Tamandua tetradactyla: one gene and its partner. The protein of the gene in region 1 interacts with the protein of each later gene in a pairwise test. Links are inferred from orthologs where the notes say so. Each region holds a gene or a part of one and is shown on either strand. Other genes may lie near its edges.

Region 1 (7,381 bases):
GCCTCTTTTGCAGCAAGGAAACCAAAGCTCAGAGAGGTTAAGAAATCTGCTCAAGGTCACAGAGCTAATAAGTAGCAAAGCCTGGCCTCAGTGCAGGTTTATCTGGCTCCAAGGCCTGTGCTCTATTCAACGTGCTCCACTGTTAGGAACTGGAGGAGCAAGGAAAGGGTCACATGAAGAAGGGCAGATGGAAATGAAGTGGGTTAGCCTGGAGAAGAGAACGTTAAGGAGAAACCAAAGGATCAAGTAGAGCAGGACTTAAACTCTTTGTCTGCTATGGGGGGGGGGGGGGGTGGATAGAGAGTGGGGTCCTAGATGAGCAGCAAACAGATCTAAGATCAACAGAAGGAACATATTTCTAACAGCCCTGTTCAAAGACTCAGCAACCTGTTAGGTGAGACAGCGAGACACCTGAAGATGGCTGAGGCTAGGAGCACTAGTCAGGTGTGCCACAGAGGGTCATGGAATGGTCATCTGCGTGGGCACTGGATTCAAATATGTGCATTTGAATCCTGGCTCCGTGACTTAGAAGCTGTGTGACCCAGACCCTTGGCCTCTCAGAGGCCACTTGTTCTTCTGTAAAGTAGGGGTAATAACACCTGTTTCCTAGGGTTGTTTTGTGGATCTAGGGGTACAAGGAGATTGAAGCACTCGACACAATACCTGCCAGGTGCTCAGCCCTGGTACCTGGTAGCCAGTGGTACTCTTAGGAGATCAGCTTCCAGACCATCAGGGGCTTCTTCCCTTAGACTTCATGAATCTGAGTCTAGTCCTTTCTAAGCTTCTCGTAGCGTCGTTCCTCCTGCTCAGGACTTGCTTCAAGACAGGGAAGGATGGGGCTCAGGGAGAGACTGCTCTGGGAGTAAAGGGCATGGGGTGGCTCCTTCTCACCTGGCACCACTGCCCACTATGGCGAGCAAAGAGCAGCATCTATCACTTAGCTGGGCACAAGGAGACACTCAAACAACATGAGCCAGCACTGCCCCAGCTTCTGACAGGCTCTGACTTCAGAACGTCCCACTTAGGTGCCTGGGAGCACAGCATCAACAGCTTTCCACCACTGGCTTGCCAGATTTAGCAAAGAAACACACAAAACATCAGTGCAATTTGAATTTCAAAAAACAGTATTTCACATGGGCCATGCCTATACTAAAAATTTATCCTTATTGATCAGAAATTTAAATTCAACTGGATGGCCTGTATTTTATCTGGCAACGCTAGCCCCTCAGGACCGCCCAACTCTTAATGTTTCTGACTGGTAGCTACTAGGAGCCTGGGAAAAGGGCCAGCCTTTTCATTCTGGACATCAGAAATCAGCACAGCTCACACCTGTTGCAGGACCTGAAGTACCAGGTACATAAAATTGCTTTAAAAAGGTTCAAATGGAATAAGCCCCAACCCCTGCTCTGATGGACAGAAATAGCCAGGGCAGAAAGTCAGCCTAACTAGCCTGACACCCAGGAAAAGACATGGCTTTGGAGTCTGACACTGTGGGTTCGAATCCAACATTTAATCTCTGTGTGCCCTTGGCAAGTTACTTATCCTCTCTTAACTACTTTGCTCATCTGTAAAAAGATGACAATGCCAGTTATGCTGGCACACCACAGACAGACCATAAATGACAGTTCTCCTGTCTTCTCCATTCCTGCAGCTCTGTCCCTGGCCTGGTTCTCTCTCATCACTTTTTCTATGCAAAGCTCTAATGGACAAAATTTTGAATACAGGCAGGCATATAACTTCTGCACTAACTCCACATCACAGGAACAAAGTGGGTACTGACCCCAAGAAATCTCCCAATTAAAGATTAAACCTAGCCCCCTTCCCTAGCCCCAGCCGATGACTGGAAGCCTCAAGGGAACTTGCAGAAGCAAGTATGATTAAGAAGGGAAATCTGCCCGGTGAAACCACAGCACAGGCCATGCCTAATCATCCAACATGGATTACGTGTCGTTCTGGAACATTCGTCCTTTGGGTTCCTTTAGTCTTTAGTCTGAGACAGGGGGTGCTAAATACGTATCGTCACTCGCGAGTTAAAGGAGAGCATGGATACGGTCTCAAAGGAGGCTGCGCCAAGACCTAAGACGGACAGGTTTGGCCCAAGGGGCACCCCTTCCAGTCCAAAGTTAACAGCCCCTGGGTCAGAAACGGCCAAGACGCGGGTCGGAGAGAAAAAGAAGAACCTCCGCTGACCAACGTGATCGAGCGGAGGACGCGGCACAGGAAGTGGGGACACCCCAGGAAGCGCCACCGCATTTTCCCAACTGCACTAACTGGGGCTTTCTGCTTTTAAGTAATTTTTATGGGCGGCCGTGTTTCTTAATTACGAAATAAGAAAGCTGGGAAGCCGCTGGTCTGGAAACATCTGCTTTCCATTGCCTGATTCAGTAAACAAAGGCGGAGCCAAGCAGCCCACCCCAAAGCCTTCACGTGAGAGGTCTCGCCCCTCTCGTCCCTCTCCCCGGCGGGGGGGAGGTGTCCTCCTCGTGGCCCCGCCCCCGGCTCCTGGCCCCGCCCCTGCCCCGCCCCCAGGCCATCCTCCGCCTCGAGGGAATGCGGGGCGCGCAGGCCTCAGCAGTCCCCACAGAGCGGGCTGACTCGGAAAGGGGCGACCTTTTTCCTCCCCACCGGCCTCCAGCTCCCCTTCTCGGTCTGCCCTGCTGACCTTTCCGTGGCCCCTTCCCCCTGCGAGGGTCTGTCTGGCCACCCCTGGCTCACCTGGGGTCGGAACTTGCCCGTTCTCCCCGCCTCTCTCCCAGACGCTCGTCCTCTCACGTCTGCGCTCCTCGGCCCCGGCAGACGCCCCAAACGCCCACGGACCCGCCCTCGCCCGCCGCCGCCACCCCGCCCGCCGCGCCCATCGCCACCTTCAGGTTCACGGCCGGCAGCTCCATCCCGCCCGCCGCCGAGGACACCTGCGCGGCCGCCGCCGGGAGCTGTCGGGCTCGGAACTCGAGAAACGAACTTGCCGGCCCCGCCCGGCCCGCGGTGGCGGCTCCAACCCCAACTCGGCGCCCGGGCCACGTGGGGCGGCGCGAGCGGGCCACGTGACTGAGGCCCGGTTGCCAGGAGACGGCGTCGGGCTTCGCGTGCCCATCTCCACGCCTCTGGCTCCGGCCTCCGCCCCGGGAAACTGACGAGTATGCAGCAGGTGGTGGCACCTGGGCTGATGGGACCACTTGCAGCCAGGAGGCCCGGGGGAACTTGCAGGTGTCTCATCCCCGAAGTCACCTCTCTGCCCCTTCAGCACATCAAGGTGGAGACTTTACAGTACCGACCTCGTAGGTTTTTTGCAAAGATAAATGAGTTAATAAGGTAAGGGCCGTATACAAGCTTTTGTTATCAGCACACAAGGGGCCCACTGCTGGAGCCCACTTAAGTCAACGAGCCTACCAAAAGTTTTAGAAAAATCTAACTGGAAACCCAGCAAGAAGAAGAAGAGTTGAGGAGAAAGAGATCCTATGAAACACTGTCTGCACCTCAAGCATGCAGAAAGCAAGTGAAGAAAGGAAGAGTCACCACTGCCAATAGACGGAAACAGCCCATCAGCTGACGAGTGAATAAACAAAGTGTGGTATATACTGATGGTGGAATACTATGTAACTGTAAGAAGGAATGAAGTTATGCTATATGCAATAATATGGATGAGCCTTGAGGACATTGTGTCGAGGGAAACAAAAGGACAAATACTGTATGGTCTCACAAATAGGAATTAACTATAACGAGCAAACTGTGAGAGTGATTTGAGAGCATAGGTTATCAGGAGATAGGAAGTGGGTAGAGACTGCTTAAGGATACAGAATGTTTAACGAAGTTGATTGTAAAGGTTCGGAAATGGATAGCACAATACTGTGTGAAGGTAGCACAGTATTGTGTGATTAACAAAGCTGAGTGTGATTATGGTTGAAAGAGGAAGGCTAGGGTCATCTGTGTCACCAAAAGGAAACCTAGAGGATGAAAACAGGCACTATAACTTAATGAAATTTAGAGTGGACGATGACAATGGTTAATTGTAAAAATATGAGAAAGGTTTATTTTTTATGAACTAGAACAAATGTGTCCTTATTACAAGGTGTTAATAATGGGGTGGTATATAAGAAAAAATACAATTACTGCAAACTGAAGTCTATAGTTGATACAACCATTGTAGTGTCCCACGTAGGGGGGAGGGCAGTGAATTCACCTGCCAAGTTGGCGTAGAGAGAGAGAGGCCACATGTGAGTGACAAAAGAGGTTCTCTGCAGGTGACTCAAGCATAATTTTAAGTAGGCTTAGCCTATCCTTTGCAGGAATAAGTTTCATAGGGGCGAACCCCAAGATCGAGGGCTAATCCTGTTGATTTGGTTGTCCCCACTGCTTGCGAGACTATCAGAAATTCCCCACATGGGGAAGTTAAGTATTTCCTCCTAGATAGTTATTCTGTGGCACTGTAAAATACATGCTCACAACAACCCTATGGTGTAGATTCTGTCCTTACCTTCTTTACAGTGACATTAAGAGACTTTTAAGTGGCTTGCCCGAAGTCACATCACTGAAACCGGCTTGAGAACCCAGGGGTCTGGTCCTAGAGCCAGCACGTTTAACCATCGAGCTACACTGGTTGCATCGCAGGGAAATACGCCCCTGGGCTGAGCTAGGAAAGGAGGGAAGACAGGCGCTGATGAGGCATAGGGCCAGGTCTGTGGGGACACTCTGCAGCTCGCACACTGAGGCTGCATTCATTCGGGCCAGCTGGGGCCAGAGGCATGGGGTGGGGGTGGCAGGGGGCAGGAGCAAGACCCAGCTGGCTGGGGGCAGTAGGAGAGAGTGGGCACAGAGACACAAAGGAAAATGGAGCTGTCCATTTTCAGAGGAGCCGGGGGCCCTGCCACAACCTCTTCCTGACCATGGAAGGACAAACAGACCCCCACAAAGCACATTCTGCAAGGCTTTGGGGGCATTTTTTAGTCAATATACTTTTGGAATTCAAGTCTATGTTTTCCACATCCCTCACTAATTCTGTCTGGCTCAGCTGAAAATAAAAAAGTACCTGTTTATCTTTGTACCCTCAAAGAATCTGACACCTAGAATAGGTTCATTCATTCTCTCTCTCCCTTTTTTTCCATTCATTTAGCAAATGGTGATTGTATATCTACTTGGGTAAATGCCCAGGGGTAGAATGGCTGGATCTTATGGCAGGTGTGCATTTAACTCTTTGAAAAACTACTAAACTGTTTTCCAAGGTGGTTGTGCTCCCCCAGTTTACTTTTCTTCATAGTACTCATCAATCTCTGGAGTTATTGCCCTATCAATGTATTTATGTATTGCCTGTCCTTCCAAACCAGACTCTAAAGCTCCAGGTGGACCCTCGATCTCAGCACTTAGCCCTGTGCCCAGCATACGGCAGCTGCTCAGGAAAACAAAGAAACCACAGTTGAACCACCAATTATCTTGCATGGCTTCCTGCTCGGTCCACACAGTTGGCTAAGCAAAAGGTGGCTGAAGCAGCTACAGCCTTTCCTTTCCTGTGTTTTTGTGTGTGTGTGTGTGTGTGTGTGTGTGTGTGTGTGTCCTTTAGATAAACTATTTGGGGGAGCTCTGTCTTGCCTGCTTCCAGCAGTAACCTGGGGCAAGTTGTCAAAGGCTGAGCCTCAGGTTAAGTTGGGGAGGTGTGCTGGTTTGAAAGGATGTATATACATTTTACCCTAGAAAAAACCATGTTTTAATCCTAATCCCATTTTGTAAAGGCAACCGTTTCTTCTAGTCCCTATTCAGTACTGTATGTTTGAAAATTTAATTAGATTATCTCTCTGGAGATGTGACTCAGTCAAGAGTGGTTGTTAAACTGGATTAGGTGGAGATGCGTCTCCACCCATTCTAGGTGGGTCTTGATTACTTTACTGGAATCCTGTAAAAGAGAGATTCAGAGAGAGCAGGGAAGGACAACAGAACACCACAGACCCACAAAGTAGAGAGTCCACCAGCCAGCAAATTTGGGAGATGAAGAGGGAAAACGCCTCCCGGGGAGCTGGAGAGGAAGCTAGCAGATAACGCCGTGTGTGCCATGTGCCTTTCCACTTGACAGAGAAACCCTGAACTTCATCAGCCTGCTTGAATCAAGGTATCTTTCTCTGGATGTCTTAGATTGGACATTTCTATAGACTTGCTTTAATTGGGATCTTTCTGTGGCCTAAAAAATGTTAACCTGCAATTTATTAAATTCCCCTTTTTAAAAGCCTTTGTTTCTGGTATATTGCATTCCAGCAGCTAGCAAACTAGAATAGGCAGGGTCACATATGATCATTTGCTTAGCCAACCTAGCTCGGCTCTCCGAGTGCTCAGCAAGCAGTGCTGACCAGCTGCTGTATGTACCCCGCAGTGGCTTTCTGCATCCCTCATGTATCACTGTCATAGGCAGGTATTGTGGGGGCGGGCCTGGGGGTAACTGCCTGTTGAATCGAAGGGTCAGGGAAAGGTGGGACTGAAAAGGGGAAGGAAGATGCCTGTATTAGTTTCCTGAAGCTGTCATGATGAATAACTAGAAACTGGGTGACTTATAACAACAGAAGTTTCTTCTCTTACAGTTCCAGAGACCAGAAGTTCGAAGTCAAGGTGTAGGGTGGGCAGGGCCGGGCTGCTTCCAGAGGCTTTAGGGGAGAATCCTTCCTGTCTTCCACCAGCCTCCCCCTCCCCAGCTTCTGGTAGCTGCTGGCATTCCTTGGCTTGTGGCTGCATCGTTCCTATCTCTGCCTCCACCATCGCACGCCCCTCTCTGTGTCTCAATTCTTCTTTCTTTCTTCTGTAAGGACGTTGCCATTGGATTTAGGGCCCCCTAAGCCCAGGATGACCTCATTTTGAGATCCCTGACTTAATTACATCTGCAAAGATCCTTTTTCCAGAGACAGTCATGTTCACAGGTTCCAGGAGTTAGAATGTGGACGTGCTGCGGTGGCCCCAGCAGTTCTGACGTGGGTCCCCACCCGCTTTGCATCCCAAGCAGGTACATCAAACTGAAGGACATGGAGCAGAGACAACAACCCAAATGCTGTTGGAGATGCACACACACCTGCGCGGAGGCACAGCCACTCGCCAACAGCATACTGGAGAAGGGCCCGGGAAGGCCCCTTGGTGGCTCCAGGATTGCGGCTGGAATTCTTTCTAGAAGACTTTTCTCCAGTGTTTCCTTTCAACCATCACAAACTTGCCAGCTCTATGTGTTTTGGCCAAAGGCCTGGCAGAGTTGAGGATGGCCTGGACGTTTGGACCACCAGTGTTACTTTTTGGATCTGTGCCCATAACCCTCTCTCTCCTCTCTGGAGGGTCAGCTGCAGTGAGATGGGGGCAGGAGAAGGAACCCAATGGAACCTTGTAGGGTCACAGTTGAGGCAGCTCAGAGGCTCTCTTG
Region 2 (7,887 bases), on another chromosome or scaffold:
AGCCTACACACTTCTAAAGAGTGGGAGAAAGATCACAGGTGATAGTGGAGTTATAGAGAAAAGGTAGGGTTTAACAAGTGAGTATCATTGCTGAATCATTATATTAATATTTCTTTTAGTCTCCAGTATCTTAGAGCAGCTAGAAGCAAAAACCTAAAATGGTGAAATTGTAACCCACTCCAAACTCTGACATCTGTTCTAGAACTAATTGTTGTAATGTGCTTTGAAATTTATTGTTTTGTACATATGTTATTTTTCACAAAAAAGAAAAACTATATTTATTTTAGCCTCCAGTGTTCTGGAGCAGCGAGAAGGAAAAATCTGAAATAGTGGAACGGTAACTCACAACAAACTCTGAAATCTTTTCTGTATCTACTTGTTGAAGTGTACTTGGAAAATCATTGCTTTTTCTTTCTTTTCTTTGTATATACGTTACATTTAATAACAAAAAAAATTTAAAGAAAAAAACCCAAACCCTTTATATTGCTCAAAAGAAAATAAGTCACAAGATTTAAAAAAAAAGGAACATTCAACACATAGGCTTATTTATTTGGAAAGATACACAAGTCCCTGGTACAAGTGGTTACATATAGAAAAGATATCTGAGTAGGAAAAGAATAAGAAACACTTTTTACTGAATATACTTTTACCTTTTAAATTTTGTTCCATGCATTTATTTTTCCTATTAAAAAAACATAATTTTTAAAATTAATATTCAATACCTAATCTTGGTCTTTTGGCTGGTATTTCATCAGTGTCCACTGTGGAAAACAGAGTGCTGAGGGGAGAGAGAAAAAGGAAGAAAAATATATACGTACATATGTATATATATAAACATCCATTTTTATAAGTAAACTTACTATTCATACAACAGACACTTTTCCATTCACTTTGTCATAAAATGATCTTCAACCGAGGTTTTAAAAGAGAATGTTACTTTATAGTAGGCTTTTACCACTTGAAGATTTAACACAATGGAAGTTTGTTTGAGAGAGATCCCAAACTCCCTATCATATAACAGACCTGTAATCTGGCTGAGGTACAAATGTGAAAGTGGATTTAAGTCACAAGTAAATGAACCTAGGTAAGTGCCTAGAACTAGTATTTCCTTTTTCTCTCCAAAATTATTAAAAAACAAAACAAAAAACAAAAAACAATTTCCTTTTGAAAGATGACCCCAAAGAAAACTATCTTCTAAGTTTGGTGATGAATATAAGCAAACTTGAAAGATACTTATTAGACATAAAAGGTGTTATATTTAACTGCATTTATACCATGGAAAGTGTATTACAGCAGTTATAAAAAAATGTGAATTCAGAAAAGTTTTGGACATATATTTCAAGAATGTTAAAGACTCCTGGTGTACTACTGATCATCATTCTGAATCCTTATTACTGATTATTATTTACAAAGAAATAAACAGAACGAGATTCTAGGAGGACAACATTCAGTTCATAACTTTCAAATCCCAACATGATTTCATTTTGACTGAAAAATGTCTTATTTGAGAAATACGGTTTTAAATTAAGGAAGTGAAGAAAGTGTTGTAAAGAAAGGGTTTTGATATCCAAACCACTGTTCTCCTAACTAGCAGGGATCCACATGTGAAAAAGGAGAAAAGCTGATCACATTAACTTTCCTTTATTAAGAAAAGACATGTATTAAGTGCCTACCATGCACAAGACACTCCACAAGGCCCTGGAGGTAAACAAACATTACCCTTACATACATTAAGCACCGTGTTAGGCACTTTACAATATGATCTTAAATGATCCTCACATCAACTCTGCAGAAAGGTAGAAAGGAGTAGGTTGAAACAATGCCCTGTGATGGAATTTAGCCAATAACCAATTTCATCAATGACCTGCATTATCAGACTTGTGTATCATCATCTTCTCTCAGCTCCCAGAAACTACCCTTTTTTCCACATTCCTTGATCCTGAGGCTTTAAAAAAGAAATGAAATTAGCAGCTGAACACCACTAGCTGGTATAGCATTTATACAGTATTTCATTCTCTAGATCAATTTTTAGGTAAAGAAACAGACACCAGAACATAAAACAAAACTTAAGGGATAGATTCTAAATAAGAACCGCTTTTAGTTTTAACTAAATTTTAACTGAAGTTTATAGTACAGTGATCTTTTTAAAGGAACGACATACCTACTTCTTTTTCTCATACACTAATTCTTTAAAGCACAGAACCACTCCCCCCATACCCCAAACACACACTGGCAGCTGTTTCAGAACAAAACAGCTGCTGTCTAGGTTCTAGAAGAACAGTGCTTGCAATCAAAACAGCTTTGGGGGCAAGCTACTAATCTGACTTCCCCTTAACTGCTCTTATTGCTAAGCTGACACTTGGTAAAGTGCTTTGTAAATAGCGAGCCACAACAAAGACCGTATTCCTTAAATTTTTACTTTTCCATCTAAGGGCGGCAAAATATGACAAAGCCCCATTGAACGTGAGCAACCAGCTTGGACTCTTAACAAGAACATCATACATCCTATCACCTCCGGTCACTCCAAAGATACGTTTTTGCCTAGCTGCTTCCTTCACTGGAGCTGCATCCCCACAAGGTGGAGGGAGCAGCTGCGTCACCCGGACCCAGCGACCACATCATCGGCCCCAGCCGAGCAACCGGTGAGCAGGGCCACCCCGGCAGGACCGGTGTGATCCAGCACGCAGGGGGTGGGGGGCACAGCTAGGCCGGGTGAGCGCTCCGCGCCCTCCCCTCTCACCTGTTAGAGCGCCGCCTCTTCAGAAGGGCCCGGGCAGGGGGCACCGGCCGCTCACAAAAACGAAAAATGGTGCCGAGAATCCTAATCAGCCATTTGTACATACCAGGCCTGAGCAGCAGCGGCGGCCGACACACCCCGAGACGCAAACCCCAGAGCTGTCGCCGCCGCTGCCGCCTTCGCCGCCTCGGCCACCACGGCCACAGCGCAGTCGCCAACTTGTGACGCGATCCGAAGGCCCACAGATAAAGCGTCCCCACGGCTACAGGAGGGCCCCGCCCGCCACGGCTCCTGACGTCACCTCCTCCCGCCCGACCGGAAAGGCGCCTTGGTCCCCAGGGTGCGCACGCGCGAATTTGCACCACACACCCCCGAGCCTAGCAACAAGAGTGCGTGCGGGCCAATCCAGGCCCAGTAGTTAATGAGGTCTGATGGGCGATGGGCCGGGCTTTCTCCTCAGCCGGGCCAGTCCTGAGCAGACCTGCGGGACGAGGCACACAGGCCGCAATGAGAGTTTCTGCTGCGCCGCGGAGTGGCGCGGAGGCCTGGAGCTATAGGTGACCAGTAAGTATTTGAGTGTGTAGAATAAAAGGCCAGGCTAATGGAGAGCTTTTCACCGTGCGAGGCGCTCTTTATTTTGTATACTGTGTGCGCGGGAAATTTACATGCATTGTTACCTTCATTTCTCTTAGCAACCGCGTGGAATGGCAAGTCTTATGCCCAGTTTATAAATAAGGGTACTGAGGAATTGAGTATTTTGCCTGAGACCACAGAGCTAGCTAGTGGCAGAGCTGGAATTTGAACTGGGGTCCTTTTCCTGGAAGAGACATGCACACAGATAATTACAATTATGTGATTGTGCAATATATATTCTCTATATAATATCATTATATATTATACAGTTCAGGATAGTTGACCTCCATGATAAAGGGGTCTACAAAGTGCAGTGGGAGCCAGAGGAAACCTACATGCTCAGGGAGGGAGGACCAGAGCAGATCTTCTCAAGAAAAGCTTCAAAGAACTGTAAGGATGAAAAGAAACCTCCTCTCTGGGGCAACAGGGATCCCATCACATTACCCTCCCTCTGTAACCTCTGTCACACTTCTAGACAACAATAGAGCAAGTCCTCATCCTACCTGATGATAGAAAATCCAGCATCTCAGGATTCAGTCTTCTTCCCCCCAAAATTCTGGGACTCCACAAAGGTTTTTATCTCCCACAAATCCACCCCTGATTGCACTTGTTTCTCAGCATCTGATTCCGTTAAGGCTAGACTTCCATACACGCTCAAGGTTCACCTGACACAGGCACTCTGCAGCACAGCCTCCTTCTCCCCCTAATGACTGTTCCCAAAGTCTGATGTAAACCACCCCCTAGAGCTCCAGAACCACCAGCCTCTCACCTGTGCTCCCACTGCCCTGGCCTGGGGTTTGCAGGCAATTCCTACACGGTGGAAGCAAGACCCAAGTGTGGACACACACCCCTCCCTTGATTCCCCAAATCGTAGCTATCACCAGGATGTTACTGAAAGATTGTGAATAACAGGAAAACTAGAAGGCAGAGAAGACTTTGAAGTGACTATTAGATATACAGCATCTATGGCCTCTTGCCCATTGTTTCTCAAAGGAAATCCCCCCACTCCCAAGACCCTCTCTCCACTCTTCTCAACAGAAGAGAGTTTCCACTCCACCCACCCCTACCTGTCCCATTTCAGGCTAAACCCAATAAATTAAAAATGAATTTATAATATTATATAATATGTAAAATGAATTGGAATTCCTCTTGAAAGAGAACTGTTGACATTATTATGAGAGTTCAGTATTATTAATGTCTCAGTCCACCATTGCACTAGAAGAGTTGGTCTTTACTCTTGCCAAATGAAGAAATGTACTCAAGTGTTAAGAGATTCTCTAAAACAAAAGAGCAGTCTTGTTTCCAAACATGAATTGGAAAATTACAAGTAGCTTTACAATAGCAGCTTATCTCAGGTTCTAGGCACAGAAATTTCAGAAATACTGGGTTCAAGTGTCGGAGCAGTTCATTATAACACCAAAACTATTTGTTTGCCTTTCCTGCCTCATAAATAGCACCCATACATACCCAGTACTGACACATTAGTCACATACCATGGAAAGAACCAGTGCTGTAGAATTGTGAACTTGTCAGGCTCCTAAGACCTCACCAACTATAACTCACACAATAAGGATGGAAGTCCCCCACCCCCCATCCCCAAGCTCCACTCATGGACTCCTCCAGTGTTCACAGTGCCTCTAGAAGGGGGCTCAGCCTTACAGTTGCTTCCACCTGGGACTTGACTGCCAGTTGGTGACACTGCCCATCCAATGGCCCTGGAATAGGGTCACCTTTAGCGGCCTCCCCACCACTGCTGTACCCAGGAACTCTTCTTTGGAGGGCCAAGGGAGAAGCCTGGTGATGTGAGACAGCCCCACAAGTTCTCAGAGAAATTGAGACGAAGGGCTAGTGCTGTGAGTTTTCTTAACTCAATCTTAGGAAAGAACTCAAGGACTAGTCGGTGTGTGTATGGCCAAATAGTTTAATAAGCTTGATGCAGGAGAGCCCCAGGAATTCTCGGAGAAGTTAAGATCTCTCCACCAGGGGCTGATGCTGTGAAGGTTCATTGTCTCAGTCACAGGAAAGAATTTGAGGACTAGTCAGTGTGTACGGCCAAAGAATCCAAAGACTAGCTAGTGTGTACAGCTCAAAACCCTAATGTGTAGTGAAAGTACACACTCAAAGGAAGATGAGCACTGGCGTTCTCCTAAGGAGGAAAAGCCCTCTGAGGTCAGGATCTGTTCTAGTTTGCAAGCTGCCGGAATGCAATATGCCAGAAATGGAACGGCTTTAAAAGGGGGAAATTTATTGAATTGCAAAGTTACAGTTCTAAGGCCATGAAAATATCTCAGTTAAAGCAAGTGTATAAAAATGTCCAAAATATGGCACCAACAAGAGCTTATGTTCACTCAAGAAAGGCCAATGATGTTCAGGGTTTATCTCTCAACTGAAAAGGCACATAGCAATGTCTGCTAGCTGTCTCTCCAGGCTTCTTTTTTCCTGAAGCTCCCCTGGGGACATATTCCTTTTTCATCTCTAAAGGTCTCGGGCGGAATGGACTCTGCTCCATGGCTCTTTCCAAAATGGTTCCCTCTCAAAGGGTTCCAGTAAGCAACCCCACCTTGAATAGGCGGAGACACTTTTTCATGGAAATCATCTAATCAGAAGTTACCACCCACAATTGGGTGGGTCACATCTCCATGGTTAATTAAAAAACTCTCATCCATCAATACTGAATGAGGATTAAAGGACATGGCTTTTCTGGGGTCTACAAATTCAAACCAGCACAGGATCCCAGTATTGTAAGGACTTGGAGGGGCCCTTCCCCCCCCGTGGCTATGCTAATAATGGATTGAAGAGCTGCATTTTTCATTGGTTCTTTTCAGGTGCCAACCTCAGTGAGGGCTAGGTGTGAGGGGGCGGGTTTGGGGGTTGGGGTGAACCTAGGTGTGTGTGCATCAAAAGGAAGTTTGATTTTGGGGTGACTTCCCCCCCCCCCCCGCAGTTCCCTAACTAACCTGCCTTACCAAGGCCATATGGAGTGACAAAGACACTGAGATTTCTGCCCTTGATTTGGTTAATGTGAGCCCTAATTGTTTAAGCCTTAACAGGGTCTCCCACGCAGAAGCTCCAGTTTTCCTTAAGGATCCTTGTCCCCTTCCTGCTAAGAGCCTCTCCTTCTGTCCTTCAGGGCTCCACCCCCATTTTCCTTAAAATCTACCTCCCCTTCAAAGAACACTGAAGACCCAGCCCACCAACCCATTCTTCAGTCTTGCACGTTTTCTCTCCTGGAGAATCCACTGAATGTTAAAAGATTTCTCCTCAATTTTGCTTTTGGTGACCCCCCTATCAGAATGGAGTTCTGGACTATTTCATGGGGTAAGAGCCCCAGGATGAGATATTGCTGTTTGGAGTCCAAAGTGCCCCAAACTTAACATAATTCATCACCTTCAAGATTAATTTCCTTCTGGGGACCAACTCCTCTGGTATTCAAGAAAAATGTGTACTCCTAATAATGTGCCCTTGATCTTATTCAAGCTGTCTAATAATAACCATGGCCTTATTATGCTAAAACCTCATGCACTCTTTTCTTGTCCTGGATTTTCTCACAATACTTGACTGTATTTACAGCAAATTGTTCAGCCTATCTCATGTGCAGAAATAGCACCAAGTCCTACCTTAACTGATTTCCTAATCTGTAGAAGGAGGTTAATAAAATCTGCCTCTCAGATCTTTGGGTTGAATTAATGCTTAATGTTTCTCTTCTCTCTCTTTCCTTCTCACATGTAATAAGTCATTTAACTTATCAGTTCTACATCCTAACATGTTCACAGATCTGCTTCTTTTCTCCAAATTGCTCTCAGCCGTCATAAGGCCTTGGTCATTTCTCACATCCTGCAAGAGCCACCGACTTACTGGCCACCCTTTCCCACTCTAATATTAATCCGTATGAATAAAATCAGGTTCCTGTCTTTCTGTTGATAAATCACTGAAATGGTTGGGTTGGTTTTCACCAAATTCAGAAGGTTTTTTTCAGGGTGGTCTGACTTAACATATAGGCCATTTGACAACCTGAAACTTTAGTATGGTTGGTCCTAGGGAGAACATCAAAAGGAAAGAGCAATCCCTGCATCTCTAGAAGTAGCTGAAACTGAGATGTAACCGAAGGAGCCAGGGATACCAAGAGTTGAGAAATGGGGTGGACCCAAAATGAGAGCCCCAAGTCAGAGGCACAAGAATAGATCTTCCATACTGCAGGTGTTGGTTTTTCGATAGAGTTGCTTCTCAGAAGGACAACTCTGTGTGCATGCTCCAGGGAATAATTACTCCAATGAAGATTGAGGATTCTCATGCCCAAAGCTTGGGAAGCCAGCTAGTTAAAAACAAAAAAAGAGAAATCTGGCTTCGATGACAATATTTTAGAATTGCACTTTAACATCCAAATAAATCTAAAATATATGGTACTGATGCACATTCTTTTAAAATGAAACATTTCCCCCAATTTTTATTTATTCTTTTTCTTTAGAATTTTAATAAGAAAAAGTATTTTACCTCTGTATTGCCAACCTGCATGCAGA

Evidence for each region.
Region 2: the proteins of AGTRAP (region 1) and SENP2 interact in binary tests that used the Homo sapiens proteins (3 or more experiments, as listed by UniProt). The two-hybrid records come from large-scale screens. The link is inferred for Tamandua tetradactyla from reciprocal best matches to the Homo sapiens genes AGTRAP and SENP2.

Annotation. Positions count from the first base shown.
Region 1 is NC_135328.1:213,743,417-213,750,797, forward strand, and holds the start of AGTRAP (type-1 angiotensin II receptor-associated protein), read right to left. Parts: upstream 3,016-7,381; 5' UTR 2,892-3,015; coding exon 2,865-2,891; intron 1-2,864. UniProt on the Homo sapiens protein: Appears to be a negative regulator of type-1 angiotensin II receptor-mediated signaling by regulating receptor internalization as well as mechanism of receptor desensitization such as phosphorylation.
Region 2 is NC_135336.1:4,250,397-4,258,283, reverse strand, and holds the start of SENP2 (sentrin-specific protease 2), read right to left. Parts: upstream 3,013-7,887; 5' UTR 2,842-3,012; coding exon 2,741-2,841; intron 1,946-2,740; exon of another isoform or gene 1,780-1,945; intron 779-1,779; coding exon 723-778; intron 1-722. UniProt on the Homo sapiens protein: Protease that catalyzes two essential functions in the SUMO pathway.